Neurospora crassa OR74A: one gene and its partner. The protein of the gene in region 1 purifies or fractionates together with the protein of each later gene. This does not show direct contact. Links are inferred from orthologs where the notes say so. Each region holds a gene or a part of one and is shown on either strand. Other genes may lie near its edges.

Region 1 (4,854 bases):
GCATCAACAGCAACGGGCACCGGCTCCTCCATCCTCCATCCCCGCGGGCGCAACGACAACAGCAATATTCACCAGCAGCAACAGCAACAGCGCGAGCTAGCCAACGTGCGTGCCAACGAAGAACGCATGCGCGAGATGATGGCCCGCGGTGGTCTCCGGCCCACGCACGTCAATCTAACCGATGGCGCCGCAGACGAAGACGACGACGTTGACGAGGAAGACCAAGCTCACATGCTAGAGGAGGACGACATCATCGGCTCTCACAACAGCGGAGAATATGCGGACGAAGACAGAGGCATGACGGACGACAGTCTAGGCATGAACGCCAACCTAGATGACGACATTCCAGAGGCGGACGAGGAGCGTGCGCAAAGCGGTTTCTATGAGCATACCGATTCCGAGGCGGAGCTTCTTGACAGCAGTGATAACGAGGGAGGACAAGAGCAAGTCGGTACAGGTGCAGGCATCGGCATAAGCAGCAGTGGTAGCGGTGGTAATATGAGCGGCAGTCACAGACGCGCTCACCGGGTTAGCTACGGACCTGGTTCGGCAGCGGGATCAGCGCAGGGCCAGCATCGCCGCGTATCACTGCCAAGACAGCAGCAGCAGCAGCAGCAGCGGCTGTTGAGGACTAGTCTTGCGGGAAATGCCAGGCGGAGCACAATTGGAGCGCCAAGGAGCAGTCTGGATATCAGTGGGCTGTTGTCTGTTGATGAGAGTAGTCCCATGATGAGAAGCAGTCCAAGGGTGAGGAGGTTGCACTAGAATGAAGGTCCGCGGTGGTTCGGAAAGAGAAACAAGGGAGGATTAAAACTGAGGAGTTGTGGTAGGAACGGTCAGCAAGCATCATTCAATAACAGGTCGTTTGAGTCTGGCGCATGGAGTCTTGGGATCATGGCAGTATGGGTAGCTACTTGGTGGCTTGGGAAGCAGGATTGAATAGATAATGTCCGTCAAAAGACAACTTTGATCTTCGTTACAGCAATGGTCTGGTCTATGCAGTGGTAGTCTACACGCAGTTCTGATTAACTGTCTGTTATACGCTCAATGATTATCCACTTCACGTTTGTGGGAGCCCATATATAGCTTCATGATTGATCAGTGGATTAAACCAGATAATTGAACCTCATTGGTTGGAGAACGGATTAAGAATGATTAAAATAATTAGGTACCACAAAAAAACCAAAAAAAACCGACTTCTGATACTACCCGAACGACTTAACAAACGCGAACTCCCCGGCGCCAGCATGCAAAAACCAAGTCCGCCCGCAATCTACCAAGGGCAACCCATATCCATGCCTTTTCTATCCCACAAGGTAGTCAGCCACTTTGACCTAGAACCTTCCGTTTTCCTCATCATCCATTGGTATTACCCATCGTTAAAGCCATATATATACTATCCCATCTTTCCTTTGCATATATATGGTCTCTTTTCTCGTTTCCATCATTCTTGAACATATCGCTTTGCCCCGCGCAGCAGCAGCAGCAGCAGCAGCAGCAGCAGGAGGACCACTCCGCCGACCAACATATCCCTCCATCTTTGTCTTTTTCTTTTCTTTCTTTTTCTCTCTTCCAAGTTCAGAAAAACCTTGACCTTGGAAGGATACTAGAGATACCTCACGTAAAAAAAGAGGAACACCACGGCAGCGAAAAAGGCAAGCCACACCCTCCACCCGACATTGGTCTTCTGTGCCATGATGAGCATTCGGTTCATGGTACCACGGAGTCGGAGGCGGGTTTGGTCGAAGGATTCGTTCATCTTCTCGGCGAGGGCGGAGGAGTCTCGAATTTCATCGCCGATGGCTATAGTCATCTGTTTGTGGGGGAGGGATGGGGTTAGTTGATGGGTGGCTTGCGAGAGAAGGAAGTGGGAGAGAGGGAGGAGAGCAGAAAGAGAGAACAAAAACATACATCCTTCAAAATCTTGACTTTACCCATTATCCCTTCCACCTGCTCATCATTCTGGCTCTCGAGTTCGTTGAGGACTGCGTCGCTGTACTGGCCCCTTGAATTTGGAGTAGCAGGCCTAAACCCGCCCCGTTCCATCCCCAGTGTTGACGAGCTGCCGTTATAACTCCCACCGCCACCATAGCCGCCCCCGTACCCGTATCCGCCGCCACCGCCATACCTTGCTGGGCTGGCGTTGGCCGAGCGGCGCTCGGCTGCGCTGGAGCCAGAGTAGCCCTTGAAAAGGTCGCTGCGCGGGTCGCGCTGGTGTAGAGAGGAATGTGCAAATCTGTACTCCGGAGAAAAAGAAAAGCGGACTAATTGTTAGAAGGGTGTTGTCTTGTCTTGTTCGAAGGATTAAGGGGTTGGTGGGATGGGGGTTGTGGTGGGTGGTCAAAGTCGAATCGAGGACGACCCGGGGGCATGGTGGATGGATCGAGTTGACGCTTTCGGTTTCGCTGTCATTCTCGCTCTCGTCGCCAGTGCTGCTGTGGTTGCGCCGCTGTTGCGACTGCATCACATCACGGTAGTGAACTCGTATCGTATCCTACCATGGCATGGTTGGAGGCGTGTTGGCGAGACTCTGAAACCAGAGCGATGACGTAGTTGAGGCCGTCGCGCCATGACCAGGGGGGGCAGGTCGAGAAATCGTGACTTGTCAAACCAACCACCATAACATCGATAGCTGCTGCCTTTGGTCCGCAGATATCTTCCGGTGGCAATATCGTACACCCGTTCACCGGAGCCGGGCAGCTCGGTCGGCCGCTCGCTTCATCGCGTGTCGGTCGTGGGTTTGGTCGAGTTGACAGGCCAAGTCGCATTTCGAAATGTGAAAGGTGGCATTTGCGTGTGGTGTGGTGCAATGCTAAGACGAACGTACAAGAGAATCGCACTCACCTGGAAGCCATCATGGAGAGCAAATTTAGGTCGATCCGTCTTCGAGAATCCTGACAGGTAAATGCTAGCTAACTTGTAAGAGTGTGGGTAGGTATTAGAGATGATGAATTGGCAGGTTCCATAGAGGTAGCGTCGGGCGGGGGGTGTGCGGGTGGTGAAGAAAGAAAATAAAGTTGAATGCCCGTGGACCCTTGGCCGCCAGCGCCGGCAGATCCCCCTTTTTAGTTTGGGTGGTTGTTAGGCCTGTTCTGGCCAGATGTTACCTTGGTGCGCCGTCCATGTACATAAACTACAACGTCAGTCCGTGTCTGGGTGATACATATGTAATGGCTAAAAGGTACAATGTTGTTCGTGCCGCATGATGCTGACAAGGACACGTTGATTGAACATCTGGGTTGGTGTCACGTCTTCCTCTCCGAGAGAACTTGACACTATTTTCCCCAATGTATCTGGTTTTAATCATTCAATTTTTCTTTATGTCGGAGGGTTCATGTTCGGCGTTGTTCAAAGTCCCTCCGAGAGGTGCCCGTGTTGCTTCCACTGATATTGGCTAATTGGGCGTTCAGCGTCTCCATTCTTCCTCTACCTTTTTTTTTTTTTTTTTTTTTTTTTTTTTCTCTCTCAGCTTGTCGCGTCAGCAATAAGTTGATCCACGTTAGATTGCGCAAGGCGCATAGACTCAAGTATGGACTTATTGAAGCGAATCTAAGCCCAAATCCGAGACTTTCAGAATCGTTGAAGCTTTCCAAGTCGAAGGCATGCATTCTCACAGATGTTGGCGTCAAAGAAGCTGGTGTATGGTACTGCGTAGAATACCCGGTGGATCAGGCCAAGATCGCGAACCTTGTTGGTGGCTGGTGCGATGCTCCGGTTCCTGACGTCTGCTGTGTACTCCAGGAACAGGACCGATATCAAATCTCGATGGTCATAGCAACTCTAGAATTCGCCGGAATATTACCTTTTCATAGGTCAGCCGTAGACATATCACCCCCTTCAGGCTGCCTCGCGGTTAGTTTAGTGGCACCCCATCTCAACAGGCCAACTGCCCTTGAGCTGACAGGGGAATCATCCAATGTCTCCACTTATGGGGGTTAGGTTAGTGAAGACAAGCGATCAAGCGTATTCTGATACACCAACGTACGTAGTATGTTGATACTTTGAAATTGGCTGACAGAAGAGATCGGTCTACCTGAACTGATAAACGAATGATCACTTACACCCTTATCATGTATTGCCAAATTCTGATTGTGGGAACTCCCAACGCATTGAACCAAACAACCCCAGGCCTTATAGCTGACATTCACGTACATAAATAGGTCCAGCCAATCAGGCTTAGCAATCAGCCAAAAGACGGCTTACATCTCCAAGCTCGTGATCATCATAAAACTCAACCACTGGCAGCGAGCAAAGCGCAGAGCCAACGGGGAAACCCAGGAAGAAAGAAAACAAGAATCTGTTGTCATTGTTGTTGTTGTTGTTGTTGTTGTGAACCATCAAAGGAAATCAGAAGATAGCCTCGGACTACTCCTCCATTTCCTCATCCTCGGGCACAAACTCCTCGTCGTCCTCCTCATCGTCCTCCTCGGCAGGCAAGTCCTGAGCGGCCTTGGCATAGTCGATCTCCTTCTGGCGAGTGCGGGGACCACTGATCACATTGCTGGGGTCGATCTCCTCGAGGTTGTCTTCCTCTGTTTTTGTTCATGTTAGTTCCTGTACGTAAGCTGTTGCTGCGCGATCGTCACCCGTGATTGGGCGTTGGCTGATGGATTTAAAGGCAATTAACGTACCAGCTTCGGGCTCCTGCAAACGGAAGGGTTAGCACGGACAATGCGAAGAAGAGTGTTTTGAGAAGCAAGTTTGATGCCTTCAGGATTTAGCTCACCTCAGTCTCATCCTCATCTTCATCATCCTCGTCGTCCTCTGCCTCACCCATGGGGTGGTCCTCGGACTCAGCGGCGGCCTTGCCCTTGCCCTTGCTTTCAAAGGGGGTGTTGGCCTCGGCGGTGCCCG
Region 2 (4,228 bases), on another chromosome or scaffold:
CTGCTGGGGCTATGGAGACCTGGGCTGTTGAGACGCATAGATGATGCATCGTCTGGTGATTGGACGAAGTCGGGCGCCGCGAGGGCTTGGATAAAAGCTTCGAGGTCGTGAGCGGGTAGAAAATTGGTATCATAGTCGGGAAGCCGTCTGGGGTCAAAGGCTTCTGGCGGGAAACCATACGACTTTGCTGGTATTTGGATGTTTGGTGGGTTGTCTGTGTCGTCGGCCATGACACGGAAGGTGATGCTTTTCTGTCCGCGATATATCAGGTATAATGGCTCAAGTAGCTGAAACAGATAGATGTAGGTAGCTCGGACAAGCCCAGACAGTTGCGATATCAAGACAGGAGGCTTTTCGTTCTGTTCGAGTTGTCGCGTAATCAAAAAACAGCAAGTCGCAAACGAGATTGCGAACTGTAGGGAAAAAGGGACAGGAATCCAAGCACAGTAAACGCTTGGCAGATGCTTCAAGGATCGTCGACGTCGTCACTAAATGATATCGGCTAATGGCCAGGGAAGCATGCGAAGTGGAATCTTCGGCGTCTTGGTCCTGTATATGTAGCTGATGATGATCGAAGCCTTCTGGCTTTTTGATCTTCTGACTGATCCACCCTGAAACAAGCCACAGGGAATGGCTGGACAGAAAGGTGACACGGACTGAAAGAGGGATTTGACGATAAGGGGGTTACAAAGGAAAGAATTGTTCAAGGTGATCGGGATACAACGCTGGTTGCTGGCGCAATGGTCGGTGCTTGATCGTTCTTGATGTCAGTCCTGGTGCCGGAAGCGTTGGAGTTGCGCGGGTCGGGTGGCAGATTGTTGGATGACGTCGGTCGACCCTCGCCCGGAATAGTGTACTGTGTACATGTTTAGTGGGCGGGCGAAGCCGAGGACGGGGCTCTTGCCGGGCTACGTACTAGTAGTGTCTCTTCTGCACATGCGTTCCAGCCCAACAAATGATGGCATACACGTGTTCTTACTGGGGAATCACTCCGGAACGAATCCTTGTCATTCGAGAACTAGACTAGGCTTTGTTGGAGATGTTCACGTTCATCCGTACATACAATGATTCTACAGATTGCTAGAATGACCGCTCAAACTCGGGCCGGGCTAGGTAGACACCGTGTTACTAAGGGAATAGAACAAGCTATAGGTACCGGAATCTGACGGAGAGCAAAAGATAACCTATACCGTTAGAGCCAGATAACGGCAGTGGTCAAACGTACACTAGTCCCTCCAACGTCCCATTTGTGTCTGATAAGCCTCGTGCGTATCTGTTCATTGTGAAAATACGCCCGTCAATTTTTGATATCGCGAGACCCTCCAGTTCCTTCATTGTCATCATCGTATCATATTACAAAATGTTATTACCTGACAACCATCCTGTGCTGCTCCGCATTTCATCAGACCCCTTAAACGTACTGGGACAACCACCTGATAGCCTCTCCGTATCCCTGTCTCATAACCACAGAGCACATAAACACCTCGATGGGGCGGATGCCCTCGAGAGGAACCCTGCCCTTGCCGGTCGTTTGCCAGAGCCCGAGTCTCTGCCTGAGCTCGTCCTCAGAGACGGCTTCGGGATGGTCAATCTTGTTGCCGAGCACAACGAAGGGAACCTTGGCCAACTCCTCCATCGAGAGGAGCGCGTCGATCTCGGCCTTGGCCTCGGGGAGACGCTCGTGGTCCTTGGCGTCCACGAGGAAAACGATACCGTTTACTTCGGGGAAGTAATCCTTCCAAAGACGACGGGCTGTAGATACGTCATTTGTTAGTCGAGACCGCAGCAGTAGAGCGGCTTGTCAATGTCCCGAGAGGATTTGACATAAGCCCTAAATAGGAGATGATTATCCACTCACCCTGCTGATGACCGCCAAGATCGAAAGTGGTGAACTTGACGTTGCCGACAGAAAGCTCCTCCGAAGCTACAACGAATCATGTCAGCCATAATTATTCTCTAAACATCTCGCCCTCACATGTGCGCGCATATCTGATTCGGTGTATGGAGCCAGGAACGGGAGTAGGGACGGGAAGAGTCGAGGCGAAGGGGGAGAAGGCGGAAGGTGCTCGGGTATCAAGGTCCCGGCGTTGACGGAGAAACAGTGGCAGGTGGCAGCTGCAGGTGGTTGAACTGACTCGGATGAAGAGTAGGTTGGAGAATGGCAACGCGATCATTCTTCAACATGTGTAGAAGAGTGGTCTTTCCGGCATTGTCGAGACCCAGGAAGAGCAGCTTGCCATGCTTGTTGAGCAGGCCGAGGTTGGAAAGGATATCGTAGACTGTTTGTTGGTGGCGCCATCATGTCAGCTTTGCGAGTTTCCAGACGTGTTCGTCCAATATCATCATGAACAACCCCTTCCCAAATCCCCAGCAGTCCGCATGTTCATGCTATGCATTTCCATATCCATGGTGCACGACAGTGATGAACGAAGGGATGACGGGAAGTTTGGGTAGGTAACGTGGGCGACGGATGGGATAGGGATGCGACAACATACACCAAGACCACAACCACATGGTGACGAAATGATTATCTAGAAAACACCTCTTTTGTCGATGATACGGGAAAGTCGAGGAGTTCTAGAAGAACAGGTAGTCGTGCAAAGCGCCGGTAAAGTGTTAGGCACACAAAGAGGGACCGGCGAAATCGTAGCGAGGGTGTTGATGAGGCTTCGTTGCTGGCGTCGTGGATGTTGCGATGCGAAAGCAGCTGGAAGCTATGACAAAAGTGTACGGGGCGGCGGCGGATCGAAGGCGGTCGGGCACACGCTACAAGGAAAGATGTCCATAGAAGGTTCAATGACCCACGCGAGCCCAGAAGTGCACTGCTGGCATGAACGATACGGCAGGCGAGGACAGCGCTGGACTGGCCCCTGCAATAGTCTTGTGACTGTTGGCCTGGTATTTCAGGCATTCACACGTGACCTGTCTTTTTTCCTCCCCTTTTTTGCTTGGTGCAGTGAGCGAGCATGCCCGTGGGGCAGTCGGGGGGGGGGGGGGGGGGGAAGCAAGACGGCCCGTTCAGGGGCAAAATCCCCGGCACAACCGCCCAAAAGGCCCGTCACCGCCCAAAAGAAAGGAAGAAAATAAAAGAAAACAGCGGGAAATAAGTACCTGTAAACTACCACACATGCACGCCCGCCTGCAGCTGCCAAAGCGACCGTAGCAACCGCATCAAGAAGCCATGCAGGTGGCATTGATGCAAGATTCAGGAGAAGGAGGGTTCCAGATGCCACCCGCTCAGTCCGACAAATCTCCCGTCAAGACGCCGTCACTGCTCTCGCCTGTAATCCCAGACGTTCATCGAAGAAATAGGTTCACTGAATGAAGCAAAGGAACACATTGGCTTGTTTTGAAAATTTTACTTCTTTGTTTGAGGTATGTAGGAGGAGGATCTATAGTTATGTATAGACGAGTTTCCTTCCCAACCCCAGCACTTGGTTGTGTATGTCCAAACCAAGATGTCAGCTCACAATCGCTGATACGGATTATTGCCAATCCGTTGCCATCCGTCTCGTCCCCTTCCCATCCTCCCGTCGTCTCCAGAGGTCTCAAACTCCAAGACAGGTTCTGCAGGGTATATCTACCCCCGGCCATCAAATCCGTATCTCCGCCTCTACAGAGAGTCCGATTGTGTACACGAGCGCTCTGTAAAAAGCAGCGTGCCACGTAGAAAGTGGAAAAAGTAGAGCAAGCGCAGGCAGAAAAAAAAAGAATATGTACAAAAACGTTAACAAGAAAAGAACAAGAACATACAGAACATGTCCGCCCAGGCACAGCCCAAAGGAAGCCGACCCGATGCTTGCTTGCAACTTCGAGTATGCAATTATAATGAAACGGGTGGTACAAAAGGTGTAATCAATGAGCCGGGGGATGAAAATGTAAATACCGAATGCCGGACGAGAGAAAGCCGCTGCCGCCAAACGTGGTAAACATCAAAAAAATGCCTCTCCAGTTGCCGTTGTAACCCAGGGTATAATTCGCCATGTGAATGCTGATAAACGGCCCTCGCCGTGAGTTTAATAAGAAAGAACATAGTTGCCCTGGCCGATCTTGCCAGCCATTATTAGACCAACTTCGCGCATGCGCTCGGCACCTTGTCCTGGAGGAGGTCTCTTGGGCTGAGCCTTCTCCTTGCGGGCCCGGGTGCAATACTTTTGATAATACTTTTCTTTGCGCCTCTGGCGCTTCTCCTCCAAACCCTTGACAATGTCAATGGCACCCCGAACGT

What was found. The genes of interacting proteins can lie anywhere in the genome.
Region 2: the proteins of NCU01741 (region 1) and NCU11181 purify together in Saccharomyces cerevisiae (affinity purification with western blotting; 3 studies listed by BioGRID). This does not show direct contact. The link is inferred for Neurospora crassa OR74A from reciprocal best matches to the Saccharomyces cerevisiae genes BET1 and SAR1.

Annotation. Positions count from the first base shown.
Region 1 is NC_026502.1:2,581,998-2,586,851, forward strand, and holds NCU01741 (SNARE complex subunit), read right to left. Parts: upstream 3,074-4,854; 5' UTR 2,859-3,073; coding exon 2,845-2,858; intron 2,237-2,844; coding exon 1,912-2,236; intron 1,814-1,911; coding exon 1,607-1,813; 3' UTR 1,109-1,606; downstream 1-1,108. Other genes in the region: NCU01742 (hypothetical protein), read left to right, coding at 1-765; NCU01740 (histone H2A.Z-specific chaperone chz-1), read right to left, coding at 4,366-4,532, 4,632-4,644, 4,727-4,854. UniProt on the Saccharomyces cerevisiae protein: SNARE required for targeting and fusion of ER-derived transport vesicles with the Golgi complex.
Region 2 is NC_026503.1:3,651,016-3,655,243, forward strand, and holds NCU11181 (Ras superfamily GTPase), read right to left. Parts: upstream 2,982-4,228; 5' UTR 2,515-2,981; coding exon 2,496-2,514; intron 2,280-2,495; coding exon 2,136-2,279; intron 1,925-2,135; coding exon 1,859-1,924; intron 1,753-1,858; coding exon 1,412-1,752; 3' UTR 992-1,411; downstream 1-991. Other genes in the region: NCU11180 (patatin-like phospholipase domain-containing protein), read right to left, coding at 1-230; NCU00382 (hypothetical protein), read right to left, coding at 4,017-4,228. UniProt on the Saccharomyces cerevisiae protein: Small GTPase component of the coat protein complex II (COPII) which promotes the formation of transport vesicles from the endoplasmic reticulum (ER).